Arabidopsis thaliana: one gene and its partners. The protein of the gene in region 2 interacts with the protein of the main gene of each other region in a pairwise test. Each region holds a gene or a part of one and is shown on either strand. Other genes may lie near its edges.

Evidence for each region.
Region 1: the proteins of LHW (region 2) and SAC51 interact in a two-hybrid assay, tested with the Arabidopsis thaliana proteins (one large-scale study listed by BioGRID).
Region 3: the proteins of LHW (region 2) and CRC interact in a two-hybrid assay, tested with the Arabidopsis thaliana proteins (one large-scale study listed by BioGRID).

The regions. Positions count from the first base shown.
Region 1 is NC_003076.8:25,729,819-25,735,107, forward strand, and holds SAC51 (transcription factor SAC51), read right to left. Parts: upstream 3,496-5,289; 5' UTR 3,330-3,495; intron 3,006-3,329; 5' UTR 2,510-3,005; intron 2,412-2,509; 5' UTR 2,248-2,411; intron 2,162-2,247; 5' UTR 2,119-2,161; coding exon 1,072-2,118; 3' UTR 517-1,071; downstream 1-516. Other genes in the region: Phototropic-responsive NPH3 family protein, read left to right, coding at 1-36, 108-407; FKBP12 (FK506-binding protein 12), read right to left, coding at 4,992-5,093, 5,243-5,289.
Region 2 is NC_003071.7:11,648,777-11,654,663, forward strand, and holds LHW (transcription factor-like protein), read left to right. Parts: upstream 1-1,582; 5' UTR 1,583-1,953; intron 1,954-2,040; 5' UTR 2,041-2,118; coding exon 2,119-2,213; intron 2,214-2,671; coding exon 2,672-2,951; intron 2,952-3,062; coding exon 3,063-3,122; intron 3,123-3,200; coding exon 3,201-4,226; intron 4,227-4,318; coding exon 4,319-4,420; intron 4,421-4,493; coding exon 4,494-4,607; intron 4,608-4,687; coding exon 4,688-4,813; intron 4,814-4,914; coding exon 4,915-5,064; 3' UTR 5,065-5,367; downstream 5,368-5,887. Other genes in the region: AT2G27229 (Pentatricopeptide repeat (PPR) superfamily protein), read left to right, coding at 407-781. UniProt on the Arabidopsis thaliana protein: Transcription activator that regulates root development; promotes the production of stele cells in roots. Coordinately controls the number of all vascular cell types by regulating the size of the pool of cells from which they arise.
Region 3 is NC_003070.9:26,006,834-26,010,817, reverse strand, and holds CRC (Plant-specific transcription factor YABBY family protein), read left to right. Parts: upstream 1-1,676; 5' UTR 1,677-1,877; coding exon 1,878-1,979; intron 1,980-2,157; coding exon 2,158-2,277; intron 2,278-2,370; coding exon 2,371-2,479; intron 2,480-2,579; coding exon 2,580-2,628; intron 2,629-2,743; coding exon 2,744-2,819; intron 2,820-2,915; coding exon 2,916-2,978; intron 2,979-3,057; coding exon 3,058-3,084; 3' UTR 3,085-3,468; downstream 3,469-3,984. Other genes in the region: AT1G69170 (Squamosa promoter-binding protein-like (SBP domain) transcription factor family protein), read right to left, coding at 3,777-3,984. UniProt on the Arabidopsis thaliana protein: Transcription factor required for the initiation of nectary development. Also involved in suppressing early radial growth of the gynoecium, in promoting its later elongation and in fusion of its carpels by regulating both cell division and expansion.

The DNA of each region.
Region 1 (5,289 bases), on a different chromosome or scaffold from region 2:
AAGACATTGATCGAAGCAACACCACAATCGTTTCAGGCAAGTAAGAGAAAACACTCATCAAAATTCACACAAATTCCTTTTTTCTAATTCCTCTACTTTGAATGCAGGAAGGATGGGCTGCAGCCAAGAAGGATATTAACACGTTGAAGTTCGAGTTAGAGACGGTGAAGACCAAGTACGTCGAGCTTCAGAACGAGATGGAAGTGATGCAACGACAGTTTGAGAAGACGGGGAAAGTGAAGAACACGCCATCTTCTTCGGCTTGGACCAGCGGTTGGAAGAAGCTAAGTAAACTGACTAAGATGAGTGGACAGGAGAGCCATGACATATCCTCTGGAGGAGAACAAGCTGGTGTTGATCATCCACCCCCCAGGAAACCAAGACGATGGAGGAACTCAATTTCATGAAGTGATAGTGATGGTTTTGTATCTTCTTGATTTTGATTCTTTGAAAAGAAAAAGCTTTTGTTTGTTCCTAATTTGTAATGTTTATTGGTTTCTAATATGGAATAAGTGACATAAACGATTCGATTTTTATCACAAACCAAAAAACGCCATTTGTTTATTACAAAACCATTTAACAATACAACAATAGAGACACAACAATACCAGTAGCATGTGGGTTGAAGCAAAAGACAAAGGAATAGTTTGCATTATTACAGACACTCAAATTAATTACATGAACATGACATCAATATTTCATAAAAATCATGGACCCATCTAGTCATCATATGGACAAAAGAGTGTGTGTGGGTCAGAGATATTTTATTACCTTAGGGGAGATTCATAGATCACGCGAGCTTGAGATGAGACTTTGAATATTTGCCTTTTGATTTCACCATCCACACTCAGCCAAAAAAGATAATCATTGTCCATCAATGACCATGACGACTTTGGCTTTTCATTCCACACAGAGAGAAGAAGAAAGTGACCTCTTTTCTTCTTTAACTTTTTGAAATTTGCAGTAGCATATATAATACTTAAAAGTAGTCCACTATATACAGCTAAAAAGCTGGTGCAGAGGATACGTACCCAAAAACCCACTTCACACGTTTTAACTCGTCAGAATCTTTCACGCCTTATCTGTCTGCAGATTTCTTGTTCCCCATGTTGTCTCTTTAAGCAACAAGATTGGTGACTTGTGAGTGGTGGAGCTTTGGTTCTTAACCTCTGTGGAGATTAAGTCTCGTTTCAGCAACTTTAGGTAATCAATTGCTTCGTCCAGAAGTAAGAGCGCTTCGTTTCCTTTTGCACCAGGGACTACGCTCTCGAGTATTTTCAGAGCTGTGCGGATCTTGTCTTTCTTCGACTGCTCGTTGCTCAGACCAGAACCAGTGTCCTCTTTGGTCGATATGGTTTTTGATTCAGGGAGCTTTTTGTCCTTAAGAAAGGAAGATCCATTGAGTTGTGTGGAGCTCTCAGTGCCCACAAGTGATGATAAGTCGCTGATGTTGTTGACCTTATCCAGTAGTTTCTGCCTTTTACAAGGACCATCGATTTCTTCTAATTCCCTTTTGTTGCAAACTCCTTCATTTGGATAAGGAGAGTGACCAGTGCTCATTACTTCATCATCACTCTCGCAATCATCATCATAATCATCATCTGAATATAGCAATGCATTGATCTCCTCAGTGTCTTCATGCATTTCTGACTCTGTTCCATCACTCTTGTGAAACTCTTCACCATCTTCTTTGAAAGCTTTCTCTATACCTTGTAACTCAGAGAGTTTCACTGGTTCTGCAGCCGCATGAGATGGAAACCGTAGAGGAAATGGACATTGTAATAGACGAGTCTGGTCTCCTGACTGATCGAATATCAAAAGTCTTTTCTGAGAAGACTCTAATGCTCCAAGTGGAGTAGTAGTAGTAGTAGCAGCAGCGCACCAAGACCGCATGTCAGACCGTGAGAATCTTTTTCCATAAGACTCCTTATCATGACTGCACAGCAAAGACTGGAATGGTGGTGGCTGCAAACAGCGAGCCTGAAGCTTAGCTGCATATAGTTTCCCAAGCTCAGGGAGAGGAATTCTAGGAAGGACAGACCGACCTACTATATCCTTGAAGCAAGCTTGAGGACTTAAGCCCAGAGGCAAATCCCGTTGCCTCTTATCCAGAGGCATGCTCTTAGCAGTTTAGCTCAAGGGAACTTCAAAAAGTACAACACTGCAGGACAAAACAGAGGCAAAAATCAGCTCAAGAAAGATAAAGTCAGTAATATCACAAGCGTAATTAGAGGGAAAAGAGCATACCGATTGTTAAGTTGCTCAACTGAGTGAATGCAATACTTCTTGTGTCCTTTTCGAGAAAATAGTAAAAGAAAGACGAACGAAAAACAATCACAGATTGAAAAATGCAGCGAAATGTCACCAACCAACTACGTGACTGGTTTGAGTAGAAGTCTGAAGTACTCAGCCTGAAACACAAAGAATAATCACAAAACCACAGTGTTAGAAGACTAGAACTATATAAGCTAAAAGTATGATAACAAGAGCATTATTGTCTGGTACAAACCTGGCAATTATCCATCGGTTGATAGCATTCAATAACTCTCACTACAATTGTTGATTCGTTAGCGTTTCCGGTCTCGTACTTCAATCCTCGAAATCTTGTCTTACCAGGTGATTGGCACACCATAACTTTGAGGAAATCTTGATTGAAGAAAGTAGACAGATACCAAAACCAAAAGGAGGAAAGTTTTGTTTGTGGAAGGAGAGTGAGCTTTTAGTCTAGCTGATTCTTTGTTCACAATGGTACACATAGAAATGTTGTGATCCCATTTTCAAAAGTGTTTATAATATACCGAAAAAGAAGGGAAGATGAATAAGAAAGAAAAGGATTTGACTCTTGAAGGTGTTGCTTCAAAGGTGAAACAATCTACAGTATCACACGGCAATACAGATTCAAGCTCAAAACTTTACGGTATACGGCAATACACATGCTGTTTTCTCTTTCTCTTCCTCTTATACACACTCTAATTGATTCTGATCACTCAAACCTACTTTAGTATCTGTGCAAAAAGTCGAAGGAAGAATCTCATCAGCACCAAAAATGAGCTAAATCCAGAGATCAAAAACAGTAAAGGACATAGATTTATAAACGTCTAGCAAGTGGGTGTATTCACAGCATCAATTCCAGCAAAATTACGCTACATTTTACTATTACAACTCAGAATATACACAAATCACAATGTTCTAAGCTAGATTCAGACATAAATTACAGAACTTTACCATTTCACAAACGACTCAAACCGTTTTTAACCACAGTCTCCAGATACACAAACAGAGAGAACAGTGACACAGACTATAAGAGAGAAAAATTGGATTTTGATTACCTTAGAAAGGAATGATCTTTCGGTCAGATCCAGAGAAAACGATGAGACTTTTTTGTTTTTTTTTGAGCTGAATCAATGGAAAAGCAAAGGGATAAGAGAGATGAAAGTGACCAACGAACAATAATGTCTAAACGGAGAATTTTTTTTTACGAAATATTTCTAAAGAGGTGAGTGGCAACAAGAGTAACAAGGCTTTATAAAAAGATTTTATGACGCTTTTGCCCTTTTCATTACTTTATTTTACCAATTCACATTCTCAATTTTTTCGGTTTTTTGTTTGTTCTATATATCGAAATTAATTTTCATTCTATATTTTTTTAAAAGAAAAAAACTAAGATACGCAAAAGGTAACATAATTTAAGTTGTACAATTTGAATTTTTAATTATTTAGAGGAAAAATATGTGTAACTTGGAAATTAATCTAGTAATTAAAAACGGTGGCAATGTTTATATTTGTGCTTTGCTTGAAAGAAATGGGACAAGGGGGCCGAACGTGTATATACGTAATTATGGTATATATGATGACAAAGTCTCACGGTCCATAATTTCAGGTTATACTTTATCATTAAATAATATTTTTCTAACCAATATAATTTTTTAATATATACTTAATTCGTTAAAGTAAAAGTTCATACGTTTTCTCTTATTTATTTTAAAAGCTAAGTTAGTGAAAGTGTGGTCGAGCTTTATTATATCCTTAATTATTTTCTAAATAAATACTATTTCAGGTTATAATCCCTCTTTAATTTTATTGAAAGCTAAGTTAGTGAAAGTGTGCTCAAGCTTTTTTTCATCCTTAATTATATTTTAATAGTACATTTGTTCAGGTGCGGTGTTGTGTGTGTTTCAAACACCCATTGTGACGGAAAAGAATAAAAGCTAACCACTCTTTTTAATTGTTTAATTTAAATTGACAATTTAGCATCTATCTAGCTTATACAACGCCAAAATTAGCTCAATACTTTTGTTTTATTTTTAAAAATATTATGTAGACTTTCATTTATGTTAAAAGTTATTATTCATAAAAGGACTTATGTGATTGGGGAATGTGGGTGAAAAGAAAAAGAAAAGTAAAAAGAATGAAAATGAAAATGGAGAAAAGAAAAAGAAAAAAGAAGCATAAGTGATGATTAAAGAATTGCACGGGAATTTTAAGTGCTTAATTACCCGCACGACTTCTCTCGCGTCTCTCTCTTTTTTCTTCCTTTCTTTTGTTAACTTATGTATCTTGTCTGAAAAAGTTTTTAACTTTAGTCTTTTTTCTTCCTTTGATTTGATATTAAGAACAGTAATTTATACTGTGTTTTGAATTAGAAGTGGTCAATTCAAATTTCATTATGGTTGAGACCATTTGCTTTGGGTCTGATATGTCATTAAGATTGAAGTTTTAGTTTGATTCTTTTGTGCTTTTTATTGGCATTTTGATTGAATAAACAAAACCATTTTAATCAAAATAAAAAAACGGGAATAATATCATAATATAGTACAAACATTCCAACTGAAACACGAGACGGGTCTTTTCTTTTATTTAGATAAAAACGTTGTCCAAGAGTTTTAGAAGAGCAATGACATCACAAAGTTTTGTTGCATAAAGATCCCAGAAGCAATAAACATAAAGGGTTGTTTAATAATCTACCCACAGTTTAGGAGCTGGGGAGATCATTACTGCACGCTCAGTACTTCGATTTCAAAGTCGAGAACAGAGTTTGGCTGGATCCCCCATGCCGGAAATCCACCAGCGCCATATGCGTAATCCGATGAGCACTGCAGAAGCAGATAAGATCGCAAGCCAAAGATGTTAAACATATAACGAAACACCCAAACTATCATGAAAGACAAAAGTGCTTCAACAGAGAGCCATAAAAGCATAGATGGCAAAGAGGAACATGATGAGAGAAGCAGAGTATACATACCCGCAAGCGAGCAACCTCTCCAATTTGCATTCCGATAACGCCTTCAT
Region 2 (5,887 bases):
ATTAAAAAATAATATGGTTTGGACCTTTTTGCACCCACTAAAATATCAGTATATAACTAAGTTAAATCTTTAAATTAGTAATTACGAATTGCTTGATGTTAAATTAAAGTGTTAATGAGTTTTTCAGAATTTAATTTAACATGATAAATAATAAAATAATCTAAATATTAAAGAGTTTATTAGAAAATAGGCATTTGTCTTGGTTATATATTTATTTTAAGGTATTTCCTTACATGATTTTCGAAAGAGGTACTTTTCTCTTGTGAAAAGTCATCCTTATCCTCCTCTCATTTGCATTATCTTTTACCCAATTGAAGCAATAAGTCGTGTCTGTTTCCTATATTCGATATTTGCATCACCAATTGAAGCAATAAATCGTGTGTGTTCCCTATATTCAATTGAAACAATGGCGATATATGCATCATCTTCTAAATCGCCACTCCTGCAAAGACAACAACTCGGATTTTCAAGAATCCAAGTTTTTATATGGAAAATCACTGAGAGAGAGATCATTGTGAGGGATTTAAACCGGTTTCATCATTTCAAGAATGGACTTGTGGTGATTACTGGTAATTTGAAAAAGACAGGTGAGACGATATTCAAAAACCGGTTTCAACTCATTGTTATTTGTGAACCGATTTATTCTTGGTATAGGAAGACTCTGGGTGGGAAAAGATTCCAACTTTGCTTACGAAGGTTAAGTCGCAACAAAGAAAGCTTCTTTATTTCCGCCATGGACACAGCCTATCGTAGTCATGTGGACAGAACTGAAATTCTCTAAAATCAGAACCGAAATTCCACAAAATCAGAACTAAAGTTCCATAAAATCTATAAATTTTTTCGATTGGGTTCCCTATATATTATCTTAGGGTTTAGTATTGTGTAATTAAAAAGAAAAATTAAGTTTGCTTGAAAAACAAAGAAGAAATCGATTTAATCAGATTTTGCAACTATGTTCGATAAAGAAGAAGAAGAAAGAAGACGATGAAGAAGAAGAGAAGGAAAAAAAGACAGGGACAAAATTGTCCCGATTGAAGCAATAAATCGACACTGTTGTATTCAACTGTGGAAAATACCTATTTTGAAATAACTTTATTTAAAATGCCTATTTTAAATATAAGCTCAATATTAAACACCTTGAACTTATGTGTATTTATTATTTGTGTGTACGGGAAGCAATACCAGAAAATGAAAATCTCTTTTATTTATTGACAATCCATAATCCTACAAATCCTCTAACTTCTAGACTTATGCCGTTATTAAATATTTTAATATATATATATACATATATATTTTTAATAATTATATTTAGGAACGTCTTTTAATTTATCTCCGAGGGTACACTTTTTTTCTTTATCTCTTTTGTTTTTATCTAAAAACAAACTTTTAGGATATTACCTCACGAAAAAAACAATAAATTATTCGTCTAGCACCATCGGAAAAAGACAAAAGACTTCGACTACCCCACTCAGTGGCACAATCCTGTAATTTCTACTAAACATTGATACCCTTTCTCGAATTCATCGTGTTCTTTGTTTTTAATAAGATGGTACTTTTTCCTCATTTTTCAATCTTTTTTTCACCAAGAAGCAGAGAAAAGAAACATTAAAGCAGAGAAAAAACAAAGACAAATAATCTCCATTTGCTTTCTTCTCCATCTTCTTCTAATTTTCTTCAAGTTTTATCAATGGCTGGTGTTACTGGAATCTTAAAGCTTGAAGCTTGGAGCATCTTGTGAAGAAGATTAACTAGTTTCTTGTATTTTTCTTTTCTGGGGTTTTGAGTTTTTTTTTCTCTTCCTTATTACCGGAAGTAATGGCATGTCGGAGTATGATCGCTTTTAGTTTAGATCCTGAAAGAAAACAAAGTGGAGGACTTAGGACAAAACAAGCTGGAAGAGGATCTTGCCGTGGAAGTTAGTCTTTGTTCAAATCCATTTTCCTCTTAAAGAATGTAATAATGGGTTTTTATTGATTGTTGTAGATTTGTTAAAAAGTTTTGTTTTTAGACCTAAAGTTTCGATTTTTTTCTTCTGGGCAGTTTGAAATTGCACTGTTGCAAGTGAAAAAGTTTGTTCTTGTTGGAGCTTAAAGAAGAGAGAAGAGAAAGAGAAAAGCTATGGGAGTTTTACTAAGAGAAGCTTTAAGGTCTATGTGTGTTAATAATCAATGGTCTTATGCTGTTTTCTGGAAAATTGGCTGTCAAAATTCTAGGTACCACTCTTATTCTCCTAATTCTAATAAAGTGTCAAACTTTATTCAGTCAAATATATTCAGTGTTTGTTAGTTTAAAGTTTGAGAATTTTTTGATAAGGGTTTAAAACTCAGATCTCGAGGATGACTAGAATTATTTATCTCTGTTTAATTCTTGGAGTTTTGTGTTTGGTTTGATCTTGTTTGTCTTAAAGAATCTTTCGATTTGTAGTTGTTTTGTCGACAATAACTATATCCTTATTATTTGTTTATGAATTGTCTAAAGAGTTCAAGTTCTTTAACTCTCTTGTCATTTCAATTTTTATTTCTTGTCTTTGTTCGTTTTGTCTTTGTTTAGCCCAAAATCTTTTGTAATCGTCTTTTTGTGGTATTCTAACTTAAACGATTGTTGCATATTTTTGTCATGTGTATTCTAATTTTTTTTTTTTGATGTGTTTTTTTTACTTGTTTTTGTGCAGCTTGTTGATTTGGGAGGAATGTTACAATGAAACCGAATCGAGCTCGAATCCTAGAAGACTTTGTGGACTTGGTGTTGATACACAAGGGAATGAGAAAGTTCAGTTGCTTACAAACCGAATGATGTTGAACAATCGAATCATTTTGGTAGGTGAAGGTCTAGTTGGCCGAGCTGCATTTACTGGACATCATCAATGGATTCTAGCTAACAGTTTTAACCGCGATGTTCATCCACCCGAGGTTATTAATGAGATGCTTCTCCAATTCTCTGCTGGTATTCAGGTTTGATACTTTCTTCATGTTTTGAACATCCTAAGTTAGGCTTCTTTAGTGTATATATATGTTCAAGCTCATAAGAACTGTTTGTGTGTGCTTATTTTGTTTGTTCTTCAGACTGTTGCAGTTTTTCCGGTTGTTCCTCACGGTGTTGTTCAGCTCGGTTCCTCTCTGCCTGTAAGTTCAAGTTACATTGTTATGTGAAGTGAGATTCTTGTTCTTGATTTAACTGTGAATTGTTTTTTGTGTGTTCAGATTATGGAGAACTTGGGGTTTGTGAATGACGTGAAGGGTCTTATCCTGCAGCTCGGATGTGTTCCGGGGGCTCTCTTATCTGAAAACTACAGAACATATGAACCTGCTGCTGATTTTATTGGAGTGCCAGTGTCTCGGATAATACCTTCTCAAGGACATAAGATCCTCCAATCTTCGGCTTTCGTAGCTGAAACTAGCAAACAACATTTCAACTCCACTGGATCATCAGATCATCAAATGGTTGAAGAATCTCCCTGTAATCTTGTGGATGAACATGAAGGAGGATGGCAAAGCACAACAGGATTTCTAACAGCTGGAGAAGTTGCAGTACCTTCAAATCCAGATGCGTGGCTGAATCAAAACTTCTCTTGTATGTCTAATGTGGATGCAGCAGAGCAGCAACAAATCCCATGTGAAGACATCAGTTCGAAACGCTCGCTTGGAAGCGACGACTTGTTTGATATGTTGGGTTTGGATGATAAGAACAAAGGTTGTGACAACAGTTGGGGAGTTTCACAGATGAGAACAGAAGTACTCACTAGAGAGTTATCCGACTTTCGGATCATTCAAGAAATGGACCCTGAGTTCGGTTCTTCGGGGTATGAACTTTCAGGAACAGATCATCTGTTAGATGCCGTGGTCTCGGGTGCTTGCTCCTCCACAAAGCAGATCTCAGACGAAACTTCCGAGTCCTGCAAAACCACCTTGACTAAAGTTAGTAATTCTTCGGTTACCACGCCGTCTCACAGTAGCCCTCAAGGTAGCCAGTTATTTGAGAAGAAACATGGGCAACCATTGGGGCCATCATCGGTCTACGGGTCTCAGATAAGTTCTTGGGTTGAACAAGCGCACAGCTTGAAGCGTGAGGGCAGTCCAAGGATGGTGAACAAGAATGAAACTGCAAAACCGGCTAATAACCGGAAAAGGCTTAAACCAGGAGAGAACCCAAGACCAAGGCCTAAAGATCGCCAAATGATCCAAGATCGTGTCAAAGAGCTGCGTGAAATAATACCAAACGGTGCAAAAGTAAGTGAAAAACTTATCTGTTCTTGGCAAATTAAACAATCCCTAAGAAAGGTTATTACTAACAAAGAGTACATGTGGTTTTTATTTAACAGTGTAGCATTGATGCACTCCTTGAACGTACAATCAAGCACATGCTCTTCTTGCAAAATGTCTCCAAGCATTCTGATAAGCTGAAGCAAACCGGGGAATCCAAGGTATAACATAAAACAATAATATTTTGGTGTCTCTCATGGATTCTTGATCTAACGTTTGTTGTATTGTTATAAGATTATGAAAGAGGACGGTGGAGGAGCAACATGGGCTTTCGAAGTAGGGTCAAAGTCTATGGTGTGTCCAATTGTCGTAGAAGATATAAACCCGCCTCGCATTTTCCAAGTCGAGGTAACATTTCTGCCTAAGGTTCTTAATAAAAAACACTCAAGATCTCGGTTTTGATCGAACGTTTTCTGGTTTTGTAACAGATGTTATGCGAGCAACGAGGATTCTTTCTAGAAATCGCAGATTGGATCAGAAGCTTAGGGTTAACGATCTTGAAGGGAGTCATCGAAACTCGAGTAGACAAGATTTGGGCTCGCTTCACTGTTGAGGTATATTATATAAGTTACACAAGGTTGTTTAACTTGGAAAGATGAGATTGTGTTAGAATGTATCTTATTTAAACTGAAACCGGGTCGATATTGGATTGTAGGCGAGTCGCGACGTGACGAGGATGGAAATATTCATGCAACTAGTGAATATTTTGGAGCAGACAATGAAATGTGGAGGAAACTCTAAGACTATTTTGGATGGTATCAAAGCTACAATGCCTTTACCGGTTACTGGTGGCTGTTCAATGTAATGACACAAATTATTGACCGTACCGGATTGCTCCGGTTTAATAAACCGGGCTGGTTAAAAGCTTGATTCATATAGAGGTTACGAGCGGACCGCTCTCAAGGATTTTAGGCTCGCTATGACTAACTAAAAAGTCAGTCTAAACCAGAGATGATGATTTTTAAGTGTGTTTTTTTTTCTCAACTTTATGTTTTGTACATTAGTTGCGAATTTTCATTTGTGTGGAATTTTTTAATTTTAATTCAGTTTTGGAGTTGTAAAAAATTTAGTTAAATTGTTTAAAATTATTCTCGACCAGTAAGAGTTCAAACAATTCACGGATTTCAAGACCGGTAAAAAGAACCGGTCCATCAACAGCTTTAACAGTACACAACAAAGCTTCACATGTTACAAGTACCTTTATGTTACTTTGATTAGTAACTCTATGTATATAATTAGCTTATTATTAAAAAAAAAAACACAAGAAGCTCTACTTTCAATAAAACACACTCTTTATTAAGAAACGTGAGGCCTATAGAAGAAAAGCTAATAATAGTTAGTTATAATACTTTTGTTAACAGCCTTATAATGTGCTATCATGTGAATTCATAATCTCTAATGGATGTCTTAATCCATTCCTAATATTTACATTTTCTTCATACTACTAATTAGTGGATCAAACTTAGTCCAACATCAAATTCTCAAAACTGCGTTTTTGTTTGTTGTCTCAAAAATGCTTTATTTACACTTTTGAGGTACCTAAACTTTGCTGCAAAAGGTGCATGAACATCTTTGTGTCTTGCTTTAGCCATCTCTCCACTCTATAGATTATGATGGGATAATCGACA
Region 3 (3,984 bases), on a different chromosome or scaffold from region 2:
TTTAAATTGATTTTGATTTAACTCAAAGCCCACACTTCTTAATCCATCTTCTCTATAATTAGTATGCCAACAAATATATATGCTTGTTCTGTCTCAAATTTCAACAATAAAGCGTGTATAGCTCCCAAAAAGCTATGTTGATGAGTTATCACTCTTTTTATGGATTGGACTAATAGTTTGTCTCATGTCAAAATGATTATACATAACTCAGAATCCAGCAGTATAGAGAACTTAACTTTTATATATATGTTAACCCTCATAACCTCAAACAGAAAATTTGTAGTGCAGTGTAGAAAACATCCTTAAACATAAAGTAAATCCTTTAACAAAAAAAATAAATATAAGTGGCAAATCAAGAGATTCTGCTTTTGAGTCCAATGTATGTATAGTTGGATGTTCTGAAGAAGATCCATTGTTTTGGTTGTTTCTCTACAGTTAAACGATTTTTATATTTAACTTATTAATGCAATTGAGTGAAAATTTCACGATGAAGAAAAAAGTTGTGAATCATGACAAGTTTTGTCCTCAGTTTTGCAGTGAAATCATTTTGCGTGAAAATTTTATGAGAGAAACAAAAAAAAAAAAAACTGATCAAAAGATCAGGAAAGGACCATTCTTAATTTATAACATGTGGGCAAGTCAAGGCTTGCTGGCATCAAACTTGAATAAATGTAATCATATTCACACCATGTATTGTTTAATATATAATTTTAATATCTTAATTGGTCATCTATTTTTGTCTTTTTGCATCGCATATGTGTCATAATTAATATCTGTACGATGTAGAGGCTAGTGAATATAAAGTGAAAACATAGATATATCGATCTTAAACCAATGGTATCTTACACCATATGTATATGCTTGTTTGAAAATATTTATTCTACGAAAGTATTAATTGGATTGATTGTTTTCACTCTCTTGAGTAATTTTGGATAAGTTAATAGTTATTATTTTTATTACACATGATTAAGGTGTATTGTTAATTATAAATCATATTTATACGAAGACATGGTTGAATAATGTCCAACACAGCTTATTTTAGCAAAAACTAATGTACGAGGAGTGACATTTAGGGTCTTGATATTTTTGAAGCAAAATTAAATACGTCTGCAAGATTTTGCAGAGGGAGGCATGTACTATATCATCTGCAATAGTAGCAACATAGATAAAAGTCATAAACCCCTAGATCCGGTCCCTTTAATTTAATTCATATATATGATTTGACATAAAATTACTTTTGTTAAAAAGTTTGTTTTTACATTAAATTCTTCTATCTTTTTTCTAAATATCAGTTTAATATACATTTGTAATTTTTCTTGCAATCCCTAGCCAGCTTAATGATATCATTTTTTTTCCTTCTTTATATCCAGAGAAATTTTATGCGGAAACGTAGATTAATATCATCGAACTTGTTGATCCAATTTGTTTTATCTTTTAAAACATTTACAGTGATTACAAAATAGAATATATAGCAAGTAAATATCCAACGAAAACACATAATGTCTTTAACAAAAAAAAAGAACGAAAAAAAAAAGAAAACACATAATGTCACCATTAGAAACTCGTGTCTACACCAGAAGTCATTAGTTTAAGATATTCATTTTTTTTTTTTTTGATAAGATGATATTAAATGTTGTTAAAATAAACAATAAAAATGCAATTATGGACTGCATATACACGTCCAACACTTTGACAATCTGTATCGCTCTCTCTCTCTCTCTATATATATATATGTCATGGTCTCACTATGATTGTTCTATAAATACAAGCCTCCTAACTCATAAAATAAGCATAACCCTAACTCTACAAAGTTCTTCTGATTCTTTCTCTCTCTCTCTTTCTTTCAAGAGCGGTTTTCAATCCATTCGCTAAAGACCATGAACCTAGAAGAGAAACCAACCATGACGGCTTCAAGGGCTTCCCCTCAAGCCGAACATCTCTACTACGTCCGGTGTAGCATCTGCAACACCATCCTCGCGGTAAATTATTACCTACATATAAGAAGATATATAAGCATATATATACTTGCATGACCCTATATATGTTGATAATATCACATACATGCTAAGCTATACATATTGTTGTTTATGTTATATATATATATATTTCTTCAAATTTTCGAGCTAATTTGTAAACCGAATCTACACACATATATAGGTTGGGATACCATTGAAGAGAATGCTTGACACGGTAACGGTGAAATGCGGCCATTGTGGTAACCTCTCGTTTCTCACCACAACTCCTCCTCTTCAAGGCCATGTTAGCCTCACCCTTCAGGTATATAACACTTGTGTTATAGTTATACATACGAGTATAATTCTTTTTATACAAAAAACTGATACTAAGCCAATCTTTGTTTTAACTAAGCAGATGCAGAGCTTTGGTGGAAGTGACTATAAGAAGGGAAGCTCTTCTTCTTCCTCTTCCTCCACCTCCAGCGACCAGCCCCCATCTCCCTCACCTCCCTTTGTCGTCAAACGTAATTAAGCTTATTACCATTTCTGACTCCTTTTTCTTCTATAAACTTAATCACTATCTACATATATATGATTATCTGTTGAACATCTTTGGTATTGTAGCTCCTGAGAAGAAGCAGAGGCTCCCATCTGCATACAACCGCTTCATGAGGTTTAACCTTTGACATATACTCTTTAGTTCCAAGTTAATTATGAAATTTAATGCATAAAAAATAAATATAATTTAGTACTCTTCTTCATCTTTTTTTGAAACAAAATATAAAAAGGGATGAGATCCAACGCATCAAAAGTGCCAATCCGGAAATACCACACCGTGAAGCTTTCAGTGCTGCTGCCAAAAATGTAAGACAAGTCTCTTTTTGTTACCAACCATTGTTGTCACCTTTAATATTATTTTTTCACAATTTCGTTTGTGTAAATGAAAAATGTCACAAACAGTGGGCTAAGTACATACCCAACTCTCCTACTTCCATTACTTCCGGAGGCCACAACATGATCCATGTAAGCTATACAAACTAAGTCTGCATAAGGACATATTTATATACATTATATAAAGATTTAAAATGTTTTGTTCAATTAGGGCTTGGGATTCGGTGAGAAGAAGTGAACAAAACTCAGGGGAAAAGAAGCCTAAAAATAACAAACGCATGCACGTGTGCGAGTGGCTGCGTCGTTTTTCTCATCTTGTGTTGTTCTTCTGTGTAATTTTCTTATGTATGTCATGTTGCAGAAAATGATGTTGCCTTAGTTTTTATGACTTTATATTTCTGTCTGTCTTTAGATTTGAAAGTAACGTCACTTGCTATGTCCCTTTGGACGTTTATGTCTGGTCTTTATTTGTCTTAATCCTATCAAAATTTTATATGCGTATTCCTTAATTCCATCTGGGACACTTTTTCTTTTCCCCAATGATTTGCAACTTTCAACATCGTAACTTCGAACTCGAGAATCTCAGATCAGTCCTCAGATGACGTGAGTGTACAGAACAAAACAAAACAAAAGTAAAAATTCACTTTTTCAGCGAATATTCATTACATGTATATATACAAATTGTCTGTAACGCTGTGAAAAGGAAGTAGGCATAGATATCTGAAGCAATTTTCTTCAGAACATTATTGACTGGTGAATAATAACACAACAGTTACAAATTACAATAATACGTGTAACATGATCTGATCCTCTTAATTCCTCTATCTAATCACAAACTAATCAAGCCATGCAGGCTTGTCTTGTCCTTCTGCAGAACAATCTCAAGAAACTCGAACCGGTTTAAAGGAATAAGAATGTTGTAACCTTTTATTAGGAGCCAGGGAAATAAAGCTCATTATATTCCTGCTTCACATCACCAGTGTAATTCCTCTGTTGCTCGATTCTTTGAAGATGTGATGACAGTTGCAGTAGATCAACCGTGGATGTTCCTTTTCCTTTACAAGAACTAGAACCAGCAGAATTGGTCTTGCCAGGATCGATCCACAACGGTTGTTCCATCTGATGATAGTCAGTTGAT